Oryctolagus cuniculus: one gene and its partners. The protein of the gene in region 3 purifies or fractionates together with the protein of the main gene of each other region. This does not show direct contact. Links are inferred from orthologs where the notes say so. Each region holds a gene or a part of one and is shown on either strand. Other genes may lie near its edges.

Evidence for each region.
Region 1: the proteins of GOLGA7 (region 3) and ZDHHC5 purify together in Homo sapiens (co-immunoprecipitation; 3 studies listed by BioGRID and IntAct, with this or other methods). This does not show direct contact. The link is inferred for Oryctolagus cuniculus from reciprocal best matches to the Homo sapiens genes GOLGA7 and ZDHHC5.
Region 2: the proteins of GOLGA7 (region 3) and CLDND1 purify together in Homo sapiens (affinity purification with mass spectrometry; 3 studies listed by BioGRID and IntAct, counting the BioPlex papers as one, with this or other methods). This does not show direct contact. The link is inferred for Oryctolagus cuniculus from reciprocal best matches to the Homo sapiens genes GOLGA7 and CLDND1.

What each region holds. Positions count from the first base shown.
Region 1 is NC_091432.1:14,476,503-14,482,860, forward strand, and holds the start of ZDHHC5 (palmitoyltransferase ZDHHC5), read right to left. Parts: upstream 4,123-6,358; 5' UTR 3,781-4,122; intron 3,407-3,780; exon of another isoform or gene 3,100-3,406; intron 600-3,099; 5' UTR 1-599. UniProt on the Homo sapiens protein: Palmitoyltransferase that catalyzes the addition of palmitate onto various protein substrates such as CTNND2, CD36, GSDMD, NLRP3, NOD1, NOD2, STAT3 and S1PR1 thus plays a role in various biological processes including cell adhesion, inflammation, fatty acid uptake, bacterial sensing or cardiac functions.
Region 2 is NC_091435.1:52,939,590-52,945,836, reverse strand, and holds the start of CLDND1 (claudin domain-containing protein 1), read left to right. Parts: upstream 1-2,515; 5' UTR 2,516-2,670; coding exon 2,671-2,677; intron 2,678-3,812; coding exon 3,813-3,856; intron 3,857-4,071; coding exon 4,072-4,381; intron 4,382-6,046; coding exon 6,047-6,157; intron 6,158-6,247. UniProt on the Homo sapiens protein: Plays a role in negatively regulating the permeability of cells to small molecules.
Region 3 is NC_091433.1:91,857,692-91,863,980, reverse strand, and holds the start of GOLGA7 (golgin subfamily A member 7), read right to left. Parts: upstream 3,942-6,289; 5' UTR 3,867-3,941; intron 3,785-3,866; exon of another isoform or gene 3,659-3,784; 5' UTR 3,637-3,658; coding exon 3,526-3,636; intron 1-3,525. UniProt on the Homo sapiens protein: May be involved in protein transport from Golgi to cell surface. The ZDHHC9-GOLGA7 complex is a palmitoyltransferase specific for HRAS and NRAS.

The DNA of each region.
Region 1 (6,358 bases), on a different chromosome or scaffold from region 3:
TCCACGAGTACTACACTTCCACAAAATGTGAGCAGCACCTAAAAGAGGTGTGCACTGTGTGTTTTTATCCAAGAAGGAACCTGTGGCCCCTTCCAGCTTGAAAGAGAAGCTGTTTTAACTGTAGTCCTTGTCCGTTTTAAGCAGTCTTCTCAATGCCACCACTCCCACACCTTGACTTCACCAGGGTTTGTAGTCTGTGGCAATGGTGGGTTAATTTTATTTATTTCTCTCTTGATGGCTAATGCTGGACTACAGCTGTTACGAGTTGAGTTGTAAATACTTTTCTTTGAAGAAGAGAGAAAACAGCGAGAGAGCAAGCTTGTCTGTCTTCAATCTCTTGTTAATCCCAAGCCCTTCAAGGGCTCCGTTTCCTACAGAGTTCATGCAAAACTGAAGGAAAACTTAAAATCCTTGAAGCCATTTCTTCCCAATAAGCAGAATAAGATGAACAAATCAATTCCACGTGATACTTTAAAAAAGAACTCAGGATGAAAGCGAAGTTCCACAGATGTCCCTGCTTCCAGGTCAATGTGTCTGGTCTGTCTTCTTCAATCCTGGGCTTTCCGGACACAGAGTTCAACGGGGTTACAGTGCCTCACCTGGAGAAAAACAAATACCTCTATCAAAAAATCCTTTCAGGGCATTTCTTAAGAACAAGGCTAAAAGTTCCACAGGCTACTCTGTTAAAAAAATGTGTTTTGAAAGAAAGATTATTTTCCACTTCTCTTATATGTATGTGGGAAAGGACTCGGAATGGGGAGGAAAAAAAGGATTTAAAATCCTCTACTCAGAATTCTAAGTGCTGTTGAGATCAGAACAAGGAGAACATGGTTTTACTTGGTCTAAGGTCATCAAAGAACTAGTTCTTGTAAGGGACCCATCTCCTCTGACACAAACAAGCAGCAATAAATATAGAACAGTCAAAGGGCCGGTGCTGTGGTGTGGCGAGTAAAGCTGCTGCCTGCAGTGCCAGCATCCCATATGGGCACCAGTTTGAGTCCCAGCTGTTCCACTTCCAATCCAGCTCTCTGCTATGGCCTGGGAAAGCAATAAAAGATGGCCCATGTCCTTGGGCCCCTGCATCCACGGGGAAGACCTGAAAGAAGCTTCTGGCTTCGGATTGGCATAGCTCTGACCGCTGCGGCCAATTAGGGAGTGAATCAGCGGATGGAAGAACTCTCTCTCTCTCTCTCTGCCTCTCCTTCTCTGTGTAACTCTTTCAAATAAATAAATAAATCTTAAAAAAAAAAAGTCAAAAACTAAAAACAAGGGTACAACTGTAAAGGGAGGGCCTAAAACAGAGGTTTCTCTTTGGACACAGTATTGCTACAACGAAAAATGAAAAACCCAACTCATATTAGGACAGCAAGTCTCATTTCCTTTTTGTGTATGTCTCTCCCTTATCCCTCTGTGCCTTGTAGTTATGATACTGAGGAGGCAGAAGTTGAATTGTTGGTCTTCTGGGATCACCCACTAAGGACCTTGCATCAAATAGATGAGATCCCATCTATGAGAAGCTGAAGCTACCATAAAGGTTAGTCCCTTTCTTTCCAATTCAAAAGTTTTTCATTCCTACATTGGCCTATTAGGAAGTAAAGTGAGCCCCACCTACCCCAATATGATTAAAAGTAACAATTACTTCTGTTGATGATAGTAACAAAATAACATCAGCACCCTGACTTTATAGGATGCTTTTCATCTAGTGATCTCAAAGCACTTTACTCACATTATCTGGTGACACAGTCCCTTATCCCACTCTGTAAAATTGAAGGCTAGAGAATGCCTGAGGGCACTCCACTGAATCACTTGGGCAGCCAGGTTCAGAAGCCAAGAGTTCACATGCCCCTTTGCTGACAAACCCTTTCTACCTCTTGTTTATCCACTATACTAACTGCCCAATGACGACAACTTGAAATCTGTACACCACAAAATTTACTGAAGTTAGAACTTAAAAACAAAGCAATTTTATTCTCCTCAAGCAGTCTGGTATTTCTTAATGCCAGAGGTAGAGATTGAAAGTATCAGAAAATTTGGATAATAAAAATACAAATGTACCTTGAATTCATCATTTTCGTTCTCACCTGTGGCATGGAAAGCAAAGGCACCTTCCTTCAAGATTCATCATTTCTGTCCTTAAAAACAGGGCTTCAGGGGCGGGCATTTACCACAGCTGTTAAGATGCTGCCTGGGACACCTGCATCCCACACTGGCCTCCTCTCCTTCCAACCCAGCTTCCTGCTAATGCACACTCTGGGAGGCAGCAGGTGATGGCTTAAGGACTGGGCTTTGTCACCCACATGGGAGACCTGGACTGAATTCAGGACTCCTGGCCTCAGCCAAGCCTAACCTGGACTGCTGCAAGCATTTGGGAAGTGAACCAGCAGATGCAAGGTTTGTCTCTGCGTCTGTCTCTGCTTTTCAAATAAATAAATATTTTAAAAGAAGGGGCAGGATGAAACCTAAAAATTTCCTGGGTATGTAGAGAGACATACTAAGTCTTAGCAGAAGGATCTACTGCAGATGGCAGGGATGAGATTGGAAGGGTAAATGTCGTTCAACAGTGGCAACAGCGTGGATCCACATCAGTATCAAAAAATATACAAGGGCATATGCGACATATTCAGGCACACGGTCAACTATGGAATGAAAATATGCACATATAAAACGAATACTATAGGACACGTACTTTGAGAGCTTTAATAAGATTGAACACAAATACCTCCTTAAAGGGGTTAAGGGATCCGAACAGTATCCCTGGCAACACAGACATTGCTTGCTGAAACAAGGTGGTGTAACAGCACAATACAGGAAAAGCTAAAAACACAGCCATTGAAGTGCCATGGAATAATCCATGTTGAGATATCGGGGGGAAAAAAAAGAGTCAAAAGTTTAATGTGGATTTTATCACTATATATCAAGGTAGCAAAGTACATGGCAATACAATTCTTGTAAACACTTGACGGGTTCTCTGGAATGGCCTATAGCGAGCCCTCCTTAGAAATCCGACACAGGACTGAAGGGCTAATCGGGATAAAAGGTGGGAATGCAAACGTGAAATCAACCTGGGCAAGATGGCATTAACCAGGAAGTGAAAAACGCAGGGCAAAAAAACGATCTGGAGTCAGTAACTTTGAGCCACTTTCTTCCTTCTCGCGGCCGTGTTTTCAATCGGTCAAGGGGGTGAGACACCCTCACCCCCCGCCCCACAAAGAGATCCCTACAGGTAAAAACACCGGCGAACACGTTCGGGCTCCACTGGCAAAAAGTACAAAGTACTGGCAGCACGGAGCCCTCGGCCGGTGGGGTTGGAGGGTGGAAAAGCACAGGTTACAGGACGAAGCTCGAGTGGAGAACTCGAAACGCACGGTCAAAGGGGGAACGGCACCGAACCCGTCCCCGGGCACAGGTAACGTCCACGGAGCCCCAGAGGGCGGAATCCGCGGCGGCGGGGCCCACCGAGGCTGGGGGAGCGAGCGGCGGAGGGCCGGGGGCGGAAGGGGCGGCGGCTGGGTGCCAGGCTCCGAAGACCGCAGTCCGGAGCCCGGCGGCCCGGCACTACCCGGTCCCGAGCCCCGGCGGCCCTGGATCCCAGCCTCGACTCGTCGGCCGTTTCAGGGGCCCACGGGTCCCTGCCGCGGCTGGATGACCCGGCCTGGAGCAGGGCCGGGGCCTTAACCCCCTCCCCCGCTCCGGTCCCCCTTCCCTAGAGGTCACTCTCCCCTCCCACCTCACTGGCCCGGCACTTCCGGTTCCGCAGGGGCCGGCGTCCCCGGTACTCACCCCCGGAGCGGCGCCCGTCACCGCCGCCGTCGTTGTCACCGCCGCCTCCCGGCAGTGCCGTCCGGCCTCTGAGAGGCAGCGCGCGGCCCCCGCACGCTCCACGCCCGCCCCGCTCCCGCGCGCTCCCGCCTGGCGACGCTCGTCAGCGAGCCGGCGCGCGGCCGTTGCGCTCAGTGCCGGGTCTCGAGCCCTCCCAGCGTTCCCATTGGCTCCCTGGCCCGGGCGCGCGCGACGTCTCGCGCTGGGCACGTTTCTCTCATTCATGCGGCTCACGCCGTCGCGCCCGCCCCTGCTCACTCTCCCATTCACCCACAGCCCCCACCCCGTCTCCCCTCTGGGGCGTGCGCGCGAACCGCGGCGACCGCGGCGACCTCGCCGTCTGATTGGCTGTAGGAGCACAGCGCCGTACGCACGCAAGAAGACGAGAACGCGCGCGCAAGGGCGTCGGGTTCCGCTGACGACTAGGCGAGCAGGGTCGGCATACTGTGCGGGAGTCGAGAATGAGGAAATGGCCGGGAGACTCCCTCCGTTTCCTGCGCCTTGTTTTCTGTCCCTGTTGTATCCTAACGGAAACCCTCGGAAATAAAAAAGAATTATGCGTGTGTGCTGGAAGTACTCACAAGCAAGCAGCTCGTCTCTCGAATTTGCCAACCCCCCCTCCAAGTAAGTGTGGTACAGTCCAGACAGGCTTCTAGCCTGACCAATCACCGATGAGTCTCGCGGTCTTCCTGCTTCGCCCCTTCACGCGTTGGCCAACCGCTTGGCGATTAAGTAGGCCTCCTTCCATCCCGCCCCCTCCCTTTTTTGATGGCAAAAACTTTATTTAAAACGATGTTGGCGAAGTATTCGCCTCTGCGAGTCCCCTGTGCCCGGGTGGCGGAATGGCCCGGGCTGTGGCTCCCACACGGAGGGGGCGCCCGGACGAGAAGAGGCAGTGTGGGGCGAAGCTCCTGCCGAGGGGCCGGGGAGAAAGGCGGAGGAGAGCCGGCACGAGCCTCGGAGCCTCGAGTGCCAGCGGCGGCCGAGTCCAGGCTGCCCTTAACTCCATTAGTTTCCCACGGCCACACGGCGGGTGGAGCGCCCGCACCCCTGACCTCACCTAGTTAGAGAAGACAAGCAGGAAATACCGGGCTCTCTTAAACAGCCCCAGTCCCTAGCGAGCTGCTGGCCAGGTGTCCGTAGAGCGCAGCGGTTATTAGCCCGAGACCCCGATGAACCCAACAGCAGTGCCACGTGTCCTCTGGCCATTCCTCTCCTGAAGGCAGCACCTTCCAAAAGGTGTCCCCCGCCCACTTCTCTGAAGCCGTGGTTCCTTAGCTTCAGAGGCGATGCTAAGTCCTGCTGACTGCCCCGTTGCTGACATTTTAACACTGGGCACCAAAAGGCCAAGGGCGGCCTTCTGTTTTCTGGAGTCTCGTCCGGTTCCTTCTCTGACTTACAGAAAGCACATGTCATCAGTTCTGGCTCATTCTTGTTAAGGGCTTCAATCCAGCATTTATTGCAACTCCCTGGAGAGTTCTTTTTAATCAGTGTATATTTTTAAGTCTTCCAAGGGTGGGAAACATCCAGCCCTCAGGTCGTATAAGGCCCACAGAATCATTTGTTCTGGCAACCATAGGCAGCACTAGAAATTCCATAAATCTATGGAAGGCTAATTTTTAAGTTGATAACTTTGTATGTCCCACTACTGATGTTATAAGTATCAAATGGTCCTTGGTAAAAAGAAAGAGACCACTACTGATGTTATAAGGTCCTTGGTAGAAAGAGAGAGAGAGAGAGAGAGAGAGAGAGAGAGAGAGAGAGAGAGAGAGAGAGGCAGAAAGAAAAAGAAAGAAGAAAAAAGGAAGGAGGGAGGGAGGGAGGAAAGGAAGGAAGAAAGTTCCCCACCTTGGCTAACCCTCTACCAGGTAAATTTAAGTTGCTGGAGGAGCCAGTGTTGTGGCACAGCAGGTGAAGCTGCCACCCGCGACACTGGAATCTCAGGAGCACAGGTTCCAGTCCTGGCGGCTGCACTTCTGATCCAGCTCCCTGCCTTTCAAATAAATGAATACATATTTTTTTAAAAGATGTATTTATTTATTTGAGAGGAAGAGTTACAGACAGGCAGAAGCAGAGAGAGAAAGAATGAGTCTTCCATCTGCTGGTTCACTCCCCAGATGACCACAGTGGCCAGAGCTGCGCCTATCAGAAGCCAGGAGCTTCTTCCGGGCCTCCCACATGGGTGCAGGGGCCCAAGGACTTGGGCCATCTTCCACTGCTTTCCCAGGCCATAGCAGAGAGCTGGATCGGAAGTGGAGCAGCCGGGGCTTGAACTGCATGCGGCGACTTTACCCGATACGCCACTGCACCAGTCCCAGTTCATATTCTTTTTTTAAAAAAATGTTACCAGAGAGAAAATTTTTACTTATTTTTTTACCTGTCACCATGTTGTTTCCTTCACAGGAAGTTAACTTTCATTTTCCAGGTGTCTATTTGACTCCGATTTTAAGATGTTCTCATTTCTTCACCTCACAAATTAAAATTTTATTTTCCTACTTTTAACTAAGAACCTGTAATTATGGATGTCTGTTGGCTAGAC
Region 2 (6,247 bases), on a different chromosome or scaffold from region 3:
ATGCACCTGAGAAAGCAGGCGAAGATTGGCCATTTGGGGAGTGAACCAGCAGATGGAAGATCTGTCTCTCTCTCTGTCTCTGTCTCTGTCTCTCTGCCTTTCAAATAAATGAATCATCTTTTTTAAAAATACTGTCAGAAGCCTCATTCAACTTTGCTTTCAAACCTAAATTCCAAAATCTCTTCCTAGTTGCATTAAATTATCTTGAAGATTTGTAAAAATATGTGAGGCCAACTACTGTTTCTCAAATAGCAGAGTTCGAAACAAAAACATAAATTTAGCTCCATGAAATTAGTATTTACTTTACACACCCAATGACAAGCGAGCATAAACAGAAATTAGAAAACACCAAAGACACAGAGATAAGCCAGAAACGTGGTTTGTGTGGTTGGTGGAATTGGGTGTGATGAAGCAGTTCAGGCTTTCTATGCGGAGGGAGTCAGGATGGTTAAAATCTCAAACATGCAGGCACTTTCAGGTCCACGCTCAGTGAGTGAAACATGTCCTGAGTGTTTCCTGGGCATTTAGCACACTTGAAAGGTTGAAAGCATCCTCCTGCTTTTCAGATCTCCCAGACACATCACCTTCTGAGTCATGATCACTTGTGTACGATGGAGTCCAGGCCTGGGAATCTCCTGAGTAGAGCTAAGGGAGGACAGCTAACCAGCTCTGTAAATGACTTATTTCCAGCCCCCAGGGGAAACAGGAGCCTTGCAAAAGCTAATTACACTGACTTCAGTCAACAAATATTTGCAAAGACTGATAATCCAATGATTCTTTCCTAAACCCTAGGTCCTGTGCTGGGCAATTACATGTATTTTCTAATCTGCAGCTCACAAATGATCTCATGGGATAGATTCTACTGTTCAACATCCATGGCTTGGGAAAAAGACAATTAAGATGTAAAGGTTAAGTAAAGTGTGCGGTCACAAAAGTTAGGACACTCATCCCAATATTGAAGTTTCCCAAGTCAGTTACTCTCCCTGTGTCTCAGTTCCTCTGTGAACCAGGTTGTTTCTTTACTTTTTTTCAAACTTCCCTTTTTATCTGGTTTTATTGACCATATGACCCCTATGGGACCTGAAAGTGGGGGATTTCTAATGCAGGCCAAGGGTTGAAGATATTTCCTAATCTGTGAGTGCATTCCTGAACCTTACTAGCACGTTAGTAATTTTCTTGTGTACCTCCACTACTTTCTCTGATGGCTCAGACAAAATTCTGTTTTGCATTAAAATCGAGAATTAAATTTGAATGTTATAATATTACCTTACTTTATTTGTGTACTAGATCTGAATATCAACTCACCAACTGAGGTGACTCTGTCAGAATGGAAGGAATTTGATACCAACTCTGGGGCTTCCACCTTTCCTGTATGCAGTGGCTAAATTTGATAGGCACTGGGGATTTGGGGGAGTTCCAGGGCTCCTCTGGTCCTCGAGTCAACTGTCTCTGTAGGTGTCTGTTGGAAATTCATCCTTCACCGGTCCCATGCAATGTTCAAGGGTCCCCATATGTTGCTGTCCAGGTGTTCCTACTTCCTGGAAAAGAATTTCTGTGCAACATGTGAGGGCTTAGAATCATTCTGTTGCTTCTGTGCCACACAACTGTGGTCTCCAGTGTGGTCCAAGACCTTATCTCTTTTAGGTAGTATCTCCTAAACTTTTTCATATTGTATTCACAAATTTTAAAAAAACAAATTTAATTTACTCAGTTATTTGAGACACAGAGAGGATGAAAGAGAGGAAGGAAGAGGGAGGAAAAGGCGGTGGGATTCCCATCTGTTGGTCCTTTCTCAAAAGCTGGGAGCTAGGAGCACAATCCAGGTCCCCCAGGTGGGTGGCAGGGACCTAACCACTTGAGTCAGCAACCACCTGCTGCCACTCAAGGGTGCACACTAGCAACAAATTTTTATCCGCATTTTTTGAGATATTCATATCCTAAGTCTTCTTTTTAATTAACTGAAATTTATTCTAAAAGGAAACCTTGCATCATTGCAATAGACAAATAGTATCCCTTGTCACAAAGAAAAGATAGCAACAAACATAAATTTTATGAAGCCAAGGGATATTATTTATGAAGCCGAATAAAGTCATTACATTCTACATGTTTACCATTCGGTGGATCACATGCTTTTTATTCTAAACTTAAGTAATAAAGTCAGAAAGACTCAACGCTCCAATGGGAGATTGTGGGAGAGGAAAAAATGGATTAACATTTGAAAACTAGAATCGCATTGCTGTTCATTTACCTTTATATTTGGAAGTAGGGTGGCGTGATAGAGCACAGGACTGAAAGAAAGGGATGAGCTATTTCGGTCACAATTACAAAGAACGAGGACAGAATACAGGCCGTCTCACTTTTTGGACCTTAAGATAGAAGACCGCGTTCGCTTGGACTTCCAGAGCTGGACTACATCCCCCACAATACATCGCGCGCGGCCCCAGGAATGCCAACGGGCTTCTCTGGCAGTTTTCCCTCTGTCCCTCCTACAACTCCCACAAGCCCCCTCGGTCCCGGGCTGCGGCCAGGCCCGGGATGGAGGCGGAGGCGGAGGCGGAGGCGCGGGAGTTATGGAGGGGGCGGGTTCTGCAGGGAAGTGCGTCAGAGGAGGCGCGGGGAGAGTAGGGTGCTGTGGTCTGAGCTAGAGGGTGAAGCTGTTGGAGCAAGAGCATGGGCGGTGAGTGAGTAGGGCTGGCGTCGCCGGGCGGGGGTCGCGTAGCCGTTCGGCTTCCCGGTGGTTTGCAGAGGGCCCCTTTTCCTGTGTGCGGCGGCCGCCGGAGCTGGGCGCCTTCTGAGCGGCAGGGGGATTTCCTGGGGGCCAAGCGGTCTGGGCAGGGGCCTGGTTGGGGACCTGAGGCCCCTGGCCGGGGGGCGGCGCAGGGCTGCCCCGCCCCAGCCTCGGGAGGCCGTAGCTGGCGTTGGCCTCGCTGGAGCCGCCGCTCCTGTGTAGGGACCTTCTGAGGTCATTTGAGAGCCCCAGCATGAAAGGGGATTTAAAAAAAAAAATCAAAATATGAACCCAACTTCTTGAATTATCGTTAATTATCGTCATTACTTTGATCTCTCCTGAGTCACTTCCCATCTTCCCAACTCAGCAACCCCAGTTTGCGAGCCTGTTTTCCTGCACCTTCCTAAGGTGTTTGGTGCGGTCACGGTGTACACTTGCAGTATTTGACTCAGCGTGATCCGCCTTGAGTCATTTTACTGCGGCCATTTACTACTGCCGTGGAGCCCTGTCCACGTCTTGGGAGTGTATGTATTTTGCCTTGATTCGGAGTTTTCTTTCTGTCTGAGGAGGGATCACTTAGTTTTTAGGAAGGTATGTTCCACCTTAGGATTAAGAGAGAGAGCAAGGTAGCAGGTGAGGAGGCGCAGATGTGTTAGGAATGGAGAGAATAGACAGGAGTGAAACATTTCCACAGCATAAAGCAGCTTGTCTTATCTTTGATAGATGGGGAGATGGATATCTAGCATTATTACATGTTATTGTTTTCTTGTTATTCCGTACACCTAGGACAACCTTTCCCTCGACTTAACAAACATTGTCAACTCTTTCAAATAGCTCCTGACTCCTGCCCTTGTTTTGGGAGGCTTCCCTCTTCAGAGGAAAACTGGGAGAATCCGATTTTCACTGCTTCCTTTTCCTGTGCCTTTCTCACGCTCAAACCCAGAACGCCTTAATGCTCTCCAGCTTGTGTAAAAATTCGGTCTATACTTAAAAATGTGTGCACGGTACACTGCTGACCATGGGCATGTCTGTTTGTATCTGTAATGTGTATGTCCATTTCAGTGTTGTCTGTTTTAGTATGCAGGTGATAGACTAGAGAACAAGACCTCTGTCTCCGTAGCATCCTGGGTATGTGAGCATTCAATAAGTACTTTCATGGGAATGAGTTTTGTTCTTACACTTAAAAATGTGCTTGCTTTTTTTTTTTTTTAATTTAAAAATATATTATTACTCTAAACCAAGGCATGGGGAGTAGTTTCAAGGGTGATTCTGAGATAATTCCTTTCAAAACAATCTTTCTTATTTGTAAAGTCTGACATCTTCTTTCTTCAACTTTTAAACAGAGCAGTCTGAATGCCAGAATGGATAACCGTTTTGCTACAGCATTTGTAATTGCTTGTGTGCTTAGCCTCATTTCCACCATCTACATGGCAGCCTCAATTGGCACAGACTTTTGGTATGAGTATCGAAGTCCAGTTCAAGAGAATTCAAGTGATTGGAATAAAAGCATCTGGGAAGACTTCATTAGTGATGAGGCAGATGAAAAGACTTACAACGATGCACTTTTCCGATACAACGGCACAATGGGATTGTGGAGACGGTGTATCACCGTACCCAAAAACACACATTGGTACAGTCCGCCAGAAAGGACAGGTATTCCTCTTATTTTCACTTCTCTCTAATGTACTTGTTTAGTAGCATAAAGTGATCTATGATTGCTGAATTATATATAAGCAGATTTGTGGGCATCTTACGTCTTCTTATGTCTCTTCTCTCCCTACCACCTCTTCACCCCAACTTCTATGCATTGCCATGCTACTGCTTTAGTTCTCCATTCAGATCTTTAGAGCACTTTGTAAGGGACAACTTTACAATTTACTTATGACTACTTGGGTTGGTCGCTTAGCGGAGGAGCTTTATCTTTCAATCATAGCAGAACAGGTTTGAATTGCCATATATCAAAAGTGATAGTATATCATTATATATGAAGAAAAGGAAATCATGTGAAGGAAAGGTGGAAAAGTTGGTCACAATTCACTGTAAAATGTTCACTTGTGTTTAGGAGGGCCTGGAGCACTTGATACTGGAATCCTACTAGTTGTTAAGTCATTTATTCACTGAGTATTTACTGCCTGCCCCTGTGTTCCAGGGCTTTATAGCTTGGAGAACAAATCCTTAGTTGTGGGGAGCTGTCATTTATTAGAATGCTAAGGGTGGCAGGCAATAAACAGAATAAAGGAGTGTAACAGTATAAACAAAATAATTATACAGTGTGTGAGATGACGACATTTAACATGGAAGAATGAAGCAAAAGATTTGGAAATACAGGAAAGGAATATTGTAAGCATAGGTTATGATTTTCCATAGGATAATTAGAATAGATTTCATTGATAAAATGATAAAGACTTGGTATAGGTAAAGACCAAATAAGGGTGTTAACTATATGGGTAGTTCGTGGCAGCAGGGCAGAGGCTGGTGGTGATCATTAAGGTTGGAAGGAACAAGGGCTACAGAGACTGTGGCAGGAGCATGGTTAAAGTATTCAAGGACCACCAAAGAACCTACTGGGCTGCCATGGAAGGAGTGGGGGAGAGTTGGGTATGCTGTCAAAGATGAACCCTTAGGTAGGAGTAGGGCACATCATACAGTACTCTAGCTATGATGTGGAGGTGAGTTTTTACTCTTGACTACATAGGAAAGCCTTTAGAGCAGGAACACTTAGAGGAGTGGAAAGACGTGATCTGGTTGCCCTGGATGATATAGTGAGAACAGGCGGGCAGCAGGCAAGGATGAAAGCTAGGGCACTCATTAGGATGCTAATGCTGTCATTCATATGAGAGGTGATTGTGACTCAGTCCGTTGTAATAGTGAGCAACAGCTGGATTGTGGATATATTTTGAAAGAAGAACTTCTAGTATTTCCAGATGGTGTTTATATGGACAAGAATGGCTGGAAAGTTTCTTGTCTGAGGAGCTGGATGGGTGAAATTTTTTGCTGAAATGGGAGCCATGACTTCACTAGTTGTGGGGGGAAGAGGATAAAGTTTCTATTATTTCAATCTTTGTACTCTCCCCTTCTTCCTGCTCTTCTTATATTGCTATTTGATGATATTTTACTCCTTTTATTTCTTCCTCATGCATGTATCCTCAGAACCAGTGGCATCCATTGGGCTTTGATAAGACCTGTTTCAGGTTGGAACCAAAGAAATTCATGGTGATATTTTTTTACAGCACCTTTTATTTCAGAGAATAATTACTAAAAGAGATTATTGTTAAATGTTTGTAATGGAAACTACAAACAGTCATTGTTTTTTTCCAGAGTCATTTGACGTGGTTACAAAATGCGTAAGTTTCACACTAAATGAACAGTTCATGGAGAAATTTGTTGATCCCGGAAACCACAATAGTGGAATTGATCTACTTCGGACCTGTGAGTATTTTGATCTCAGTAGGACGATTGAGGGAGAAAGGAAATAATTTTGTATTGTATTTAACTCTGCTTTTGGAACAAGATGAGGTA
Region 3 (6,289 bases):
CACAGTGTATGGTCAGCCTTAAGCTACTAAATCCCCTGGGCCAGAAGCAGTGGTGACCAGTCCTGCCCTTTGGGTAGAAAGCCAGGAAGAGTCCAGGAGCCAGCGGCATGCAAAGCTTCATGAGCTGTCAAGTGGAGGCACCGGGCCTGTTTCCAACCTCCCAGAATACATCTGAGCTGTGGGCAAAGCTGGGTGGGGGAGACGGGGGCGAGCGAGGGTGCGTCCCTCACGGTCCCCCATCCTGGGAGGCGGCCTGAGGAGGGCGCTCAGGACACAGGTGCTGCTGGCACGGTCACGTGCCCCTCGTTAGCGCGGTCAGGTTTCCTGCTTTGACTCTAAGCATATCTGCCTTGCCTGGCTCATTCCGATCTGGTAAGAACGTCCTTTGAGATACACTTTCTTACATAGGAGTCAAAACCATGGGCTCCAACCCGGAAACACCTTATTTCTTTCAGATTAGAATTACTGTTAAGACCAGAAAGAGGGGCTAGCGGTGTGGCTTGGTAGGCTAAGCCTTGCCTGCAACGCTGGCATCCTATACAGGTGCTGGTTCATGTCCTGGCTGCTCCTCTTCTGATCCAGCTCTCTGCTATGGCCTGGGAAAGCAGCAGAAGACGGCCCAAGTCCCTGGGCCCCTGCACCCATGCGGGAGACCCGGAGAAAACTCCTGGCTCCTGGCTTTGGGTCTGCCCAGCTCCAGCCGTTGTGGCCATTTGGGGAGTGAACCAGCAGATGGAAGACCCGTCTCTCTCTCTCTCTCTCTCCATCTGTAACTCTACCTCTCAAATAAATCATAAATTTTTTTTAAAAAGAAGAGACTAGAAAAAAGGAGAGGTAAGCAGAAGCTTCTGGAAAGCTATGAGAAAAGAGAGGGAGCTGAAAGCACGGAGGCAGCAGGTGCGGCATCAGAAGCTGGAGGCGCGGGAAGCCCGGGGCCATGTGCCAACGTGGGCCAGGGAGCCCTGTGAGTCCCGAAGCCAAGAGCAATCCGGCGCGCCTTTCCACGTGCGGTGTGTCCGTGGCACCGCGGGTCTGACGGTGCCGGTCAACCAGACACAGAGGGCAGGGTCACCTGCCTCAGCCACAGCGCACGCACGGCCGTCTCCCCGGGCTACGGGTGACAGAGACCTCTGCCTGCTGCCAGAAGTGACAATTAAGCTTCCGGTAAAGAACTCTTCCGGCGGGAGAGCCCGAGCACAAAGGCCTGGGTTCTCGGGCAGAGGCGAAAGTGAACTTGAGAACAACGCCTGGCCCTCGCTCCCTCCTGGAAGGACACACGGATGCTCTCACGCCAGACATCTGTGCGTCAGCCTCTCCCACTACTGAAAGGCAGGGCTGCCATGTCCTCCCACAGGGCGACTCAGCCCCCGTGGGGGAGCAACCCGCAACATTTCCAGGGCAAGTTAGAGAGAAACAAGGCAAGCAAGCCAGGAAAAATTAAACCTGTAATTTACATGTAATCTCAACAGACACACACGCAAAAGTGGTTAAAACACAAGCTAGTGTGTTTTATCCTAAAGATGTAACAAGGAAAAAAAAGAGCACTCAAAGGCACTGCCGAGCGCTGTAGTACTCAGCACGTCAGCTCTGGGCCAAGAGAAGTCCACGCAGTAGGAGGGCTCCAGGATCTAGAAACGTCCACTTCCCACACCCATCGGGCAGCATGCTAACTGCATCGCACTGCCGTATTTAGACCGCAAGGGCGAGGCTGCCCCCCACAGGCACGCACCCGCACAATGGGCACACACACAGACAGGCACATGGGCACACGCAACTGCAGACATGCACACACACACATAGACACACGCACGTGCAGACATGCACACACACATGCCCACACGGACACACATGTGCAGATACCCAGACACAGGCCCGTGCAGACATGCACACATACATGCCCACACGGACACACATGTGCAGATATCCAGACACAGGCCCGTGCAGACATGCACACATACATGCCCACACGGACACACACGTGCAGACATGCACACAGACACAGGCACGTGCAGACACACATACATACACACACATGCAGACACACACGTACAGATATCCAGACAAGGCACGTGCAGACATGCACAATACATGCACACGCAAACACACATGTGGACACACACGTGCAGACATGCACACATACATGCACACGCAGACACACATGCAGATATGCACACTACACACAGACACATGCCCACATACACGTGCAGATATCCACAGACACACGCACGTGCAGACATGCACACTACACGCAGACACACACGCGCAGATATCCACACACATACGCAGACACACGCAGTGCAGATATGCACACATACACACACGCGGACACAGGCCCACGCAGACACACACGTGCAGATATCCAAACACACACACATGCAGGCACACACACACGCTCACACACATGCATGTGCACCCAACCACACGCACCCACACCCATACATCTGGCTCAACTAGGAAGCAAAAGTTTGACTCCAAAACCTACAAACAAAGGAATCTTGTAACATCCAAAGGACTGTGGTGGAGAAAGCAGAGTTTACATTCTGATTTGAAAGTTCATGAATCTCAGAGTCTCCCCGAGGAGGCTTGAACAGAAAACATTTATTTCACACTAAGAAATCCATGCCGACCGTGTGGCCCGAGCGGTCCAACAGCGGCGCTCAGCAGCCCCGGCCACGAGGCCACTTGCTCAGCTTCTACCTCTTCACCCGGCCGTGCTGCCCACACACCTGAGTGGCATTTCACAGGTTCGCTATACCCCTACCTTGAACGGGCACGCTTGGGCTTCTAATCCACCCACGACCCTGCCCGGTGGTATAACCAAGCTGGGGAAAAACCACAGTGGCGGATTTCCGGTCCCGGGCGAGCAGGTGCACCTACGCCCTCAGCTAGAGACCTCAGGCCCAGGTCTGAGCGTTACTGCCCGAATCACGCCAGTGTCACCTCTCAGGCCCTCAGCCTCCCAGCCAAAGGATCAGCAGCCGCCAAACTCGCTCCCGGCCAACCAGCCAACTAGAGTCTCCCTGGCCGCGTCACCCACCGGGGGCCACGCTGCCCCCCACCCCGTTAGGACCCGCTGCACCTGTCACAACCACGACACGGCGCTTTGCCTTTTCTAGGTCTGGCTACACAGCAGACAGCCAGCCCCGCTTCCCACTTCTGCAAAGCCAGCACTACCCAGGCCCCAGCCGGCGACTCCCAGCGACGCCCCCATTTCGGGTTGCAGCACTTGGGAAACCCCCGACGGCCCCTGCAGCGGCCGGAAGCGCCGGTCACGAGGAAGCCGGGGATTCCTCCGTGCGTGGGCAGGCAGCAGGACGCGGCCCACACCTGCCCAGCCAGGTTCAGCGCCCTGGTCAACAACAACGCGGGGTGGGGCCGTGAGGCCGTCGCCCCGGGGCTCCGCCGCACCGCTCCTCTCCCCAAACACGGGTCCCCGCCCGGCCCCCGGCGTCCGCCGCCGCCCCCGCCCCCGCCCCGGGGCCGCGCCCTCGCCGCGCGGCAGGTGCAGGGAGCCCGGCTGCGTACCCGGTTCTCCAGCTCCGCGGGGAACTTGGTCTGGAACTGGCAGCGGGTGCCGCTGCTGTAGTCTCGCTGAATGAACACCTTCCCGGACACCGGCGCCTGCTGCGGCCTCATGGCGAGGGCTGGACCGGCCGCGCTGTGGGGTCACGGGGAGGGGAGGGGGCACCACGGGTCAGACGCCCGGGCGGGACCCCGGGCTCTGGCCCGCCAAGCCCTCGGGCCCACCCGCCGCCCAACGCAGCCCCAGGCCGCTCCCGCCCCGCTCCCCAGCACCCATGCTGAGCCCCCGCCCCGGTACGGCCTCCGCGCCCCCCACAGCCCGGTTCGGCCCGGGAAGCACCAACCCGCCTCCTCTGCCCTCCAGCTGCTGTCGCGCCGCCGTCACCGTCACTTACGTCCTGCCGCAAAAGGCCTCCGGCCCCGCCCCTCAGCTAGGCCTTCTCCTCAAGCCGCTGGCCCGCCCCGCCCTCCGACCGTAAAGCAGGCCGCTGGCTGCCGTGCGGGGCGTACTGGGGGGCGTGTCCCGGCAGGCCCCGCCCTCGGCCGGGCGGAAGGAAGTCCGGGCGGAAGCTGGCCTGTAGGGTGGCATTCCTGTCGGTGTCGGTGGAGGCCAGGGCGTTCCTGCTAGTTGCTCCTAAGGGCTTGTTTTCGTTCTGAGTCGCCTACGTGTGAGTCGCATCTCGCGACTCGAGTACAAAACAAAAACGCAGCGAACAAAACCCAAAGAGCTCTGCCCCCAAAATAATAATAATAATAACCCAGACAGAAACCCAACTGCTCGCCCATATCTGGAAATAGAAAGCGGACCGCCGGGCACCCACTGGCCCCTCGGGGAACTCCTGGAGACTTGGACCGTGGTCCGGTGTCCGGCCTCGGCCTCCGCCTCCGCCCTCGGTGTCCTGGCTGCTGCCAGCGACGACGGTCCCAGACCGCCCTGCCCGGGCCTGTGCCTCCTGACCAACAGAGTAACAGCCCCGCTGTCTGATCCTACCTTGTGCATATTGAAATTTTTATCATTTCTAATTTTTTTTTTTAACTTGAGAGCCATCCGCTGGTTTGCTGCTCAAATGGGGCCAAAGCCAGTAGCTGGGAACTGTATCAGCCTCCCACGTGGGTGGCAGGGGCCCCAGCACTTGAGTCATCACCTGCTGCCTGTAGTTAGTTGGAAGTCAAGACGGGGATTGAACCCAGGTACGTCCACGTGAGACATAGGGTTGCATCCACCAGGCTAAGTGTACGTCCCACTTACTGTGTTTTACTAGTTTTGTTTGGGCACAGTGACAGAGAGATGGGGAGGCAGAGATACTCCAAAAGCTGGTTCATTTAACAAATGGCTTCAACAGCTGGGCCGGGGCCGGGCTGAAGCCAGGAGCCTGGAACTCCATCCAAGTCTCCCACGTGGGTGCAGGGGCCTGAACACTCCGGAGTCTTCTGCTGCTTTCCCAGGCGCGTTAGCAGGGAGCTGGATGGGAAGTGGAGCAGCCTGGGGCTGGGACCGGCGCTTGGTTGTTGCAAGTTGTGGCTTAACCCGCTGCTGCAACAGTGTCGGCCCCCTGTGTCTTAAAAGCAGCTTTAATAAGGTCTAAACGGCAAACGACACTCGGCTGCCGAGAAAGTGGACAATTGGCTGGGTTCTGACCATCAGAGCCAAGATGTGAGTTCACCTTCCTCAGAGATTCCTGTGCGCCTCTGTAGCCCACCCCCACTTCCGGCCTAGTGCGTCATTCACTCCTGCTTTTTGTTCAGTGGGAATCGCGGGCGGTGGGTAGTGTTGTGTCATTGTCCAGCCCCCTCCCTAAGTGCACTCCATGTCTATCTCCTGGGAAAATCTGGATGGGGGAGGGACAGAGAAGAAGTGCTTGTTCCTTGTCACAGTTCAGAACAGAAGTCCCTCTTTGGCCACAGGTGTCATCCTGGGGACATGAGATTTTTTTTTTTTTTTGACAGGCAGAGTGGACAGTGAGAGAGACAGAGAGAAAGGTCTTCCTTTTGCCGTTAGTTCACCCTCCAATGGCCGCCGCACCGCGCTGATCCGATGGCAGGAGCCAGGTGCTTCTCCTGGTCTCCCATGGGGTGCAGGGCCCAAGCACTTGGGCCATCCTCCACTGCACTCCCTGGCCACAGCAGAGAGCTGGCCTGGAAGAGGGGCAACTGGGACAGAATCCAGCACCCTGACCGGGACTAGAACCCGGTGTGCCGGCGCCGCAAGGTGGAGGATTAGCCTAGTGAGCCGCGGCGCCAGCGGGACATGAGATTTGACGTGGCCGAAGGTGGTGCATCTGTGCCTGGAGGAACCAGGTGCTCTCTTGGGAGCACCAAGAGATCTGGTGAGTTGGCAGAAGCCTGGGACTTGGGACGAGGGGCTGTGCAAGGCGAAGGCCTTTGGCTGGGCTTGCAGGTTTCTGCGTGGTGGGAAGGGTAATGCAGCACCTGCTACAAGCCAGTGGTGCCCGGAGACCTGCAGGCCAAGCTCTAGAGGGCCCCAGAACAAGAGTCCACATCCCCCCCTACAGGGCAGAGTGACGTGCAGACTTCCCTGGAACTCAGAGCCCCCAGGAGAAGCTCATTGAACCGAAGACCCAACCCCCCAACCCGGCTGAAGAAAGTACCTGGGTTAGAAGAGAAGCTTTTTTTTTTTTTTTTTTTTTTTTTTTTGAATGGGTAAGTTCAAGTTCAAGGAGTTCTTGGCTCCCAGTAAGAATCAAGAGAATGAAGTTTCTTTCCTCACCTGTCACCTGTCATCTCTCAGAAGCCACCCCTGGATTTC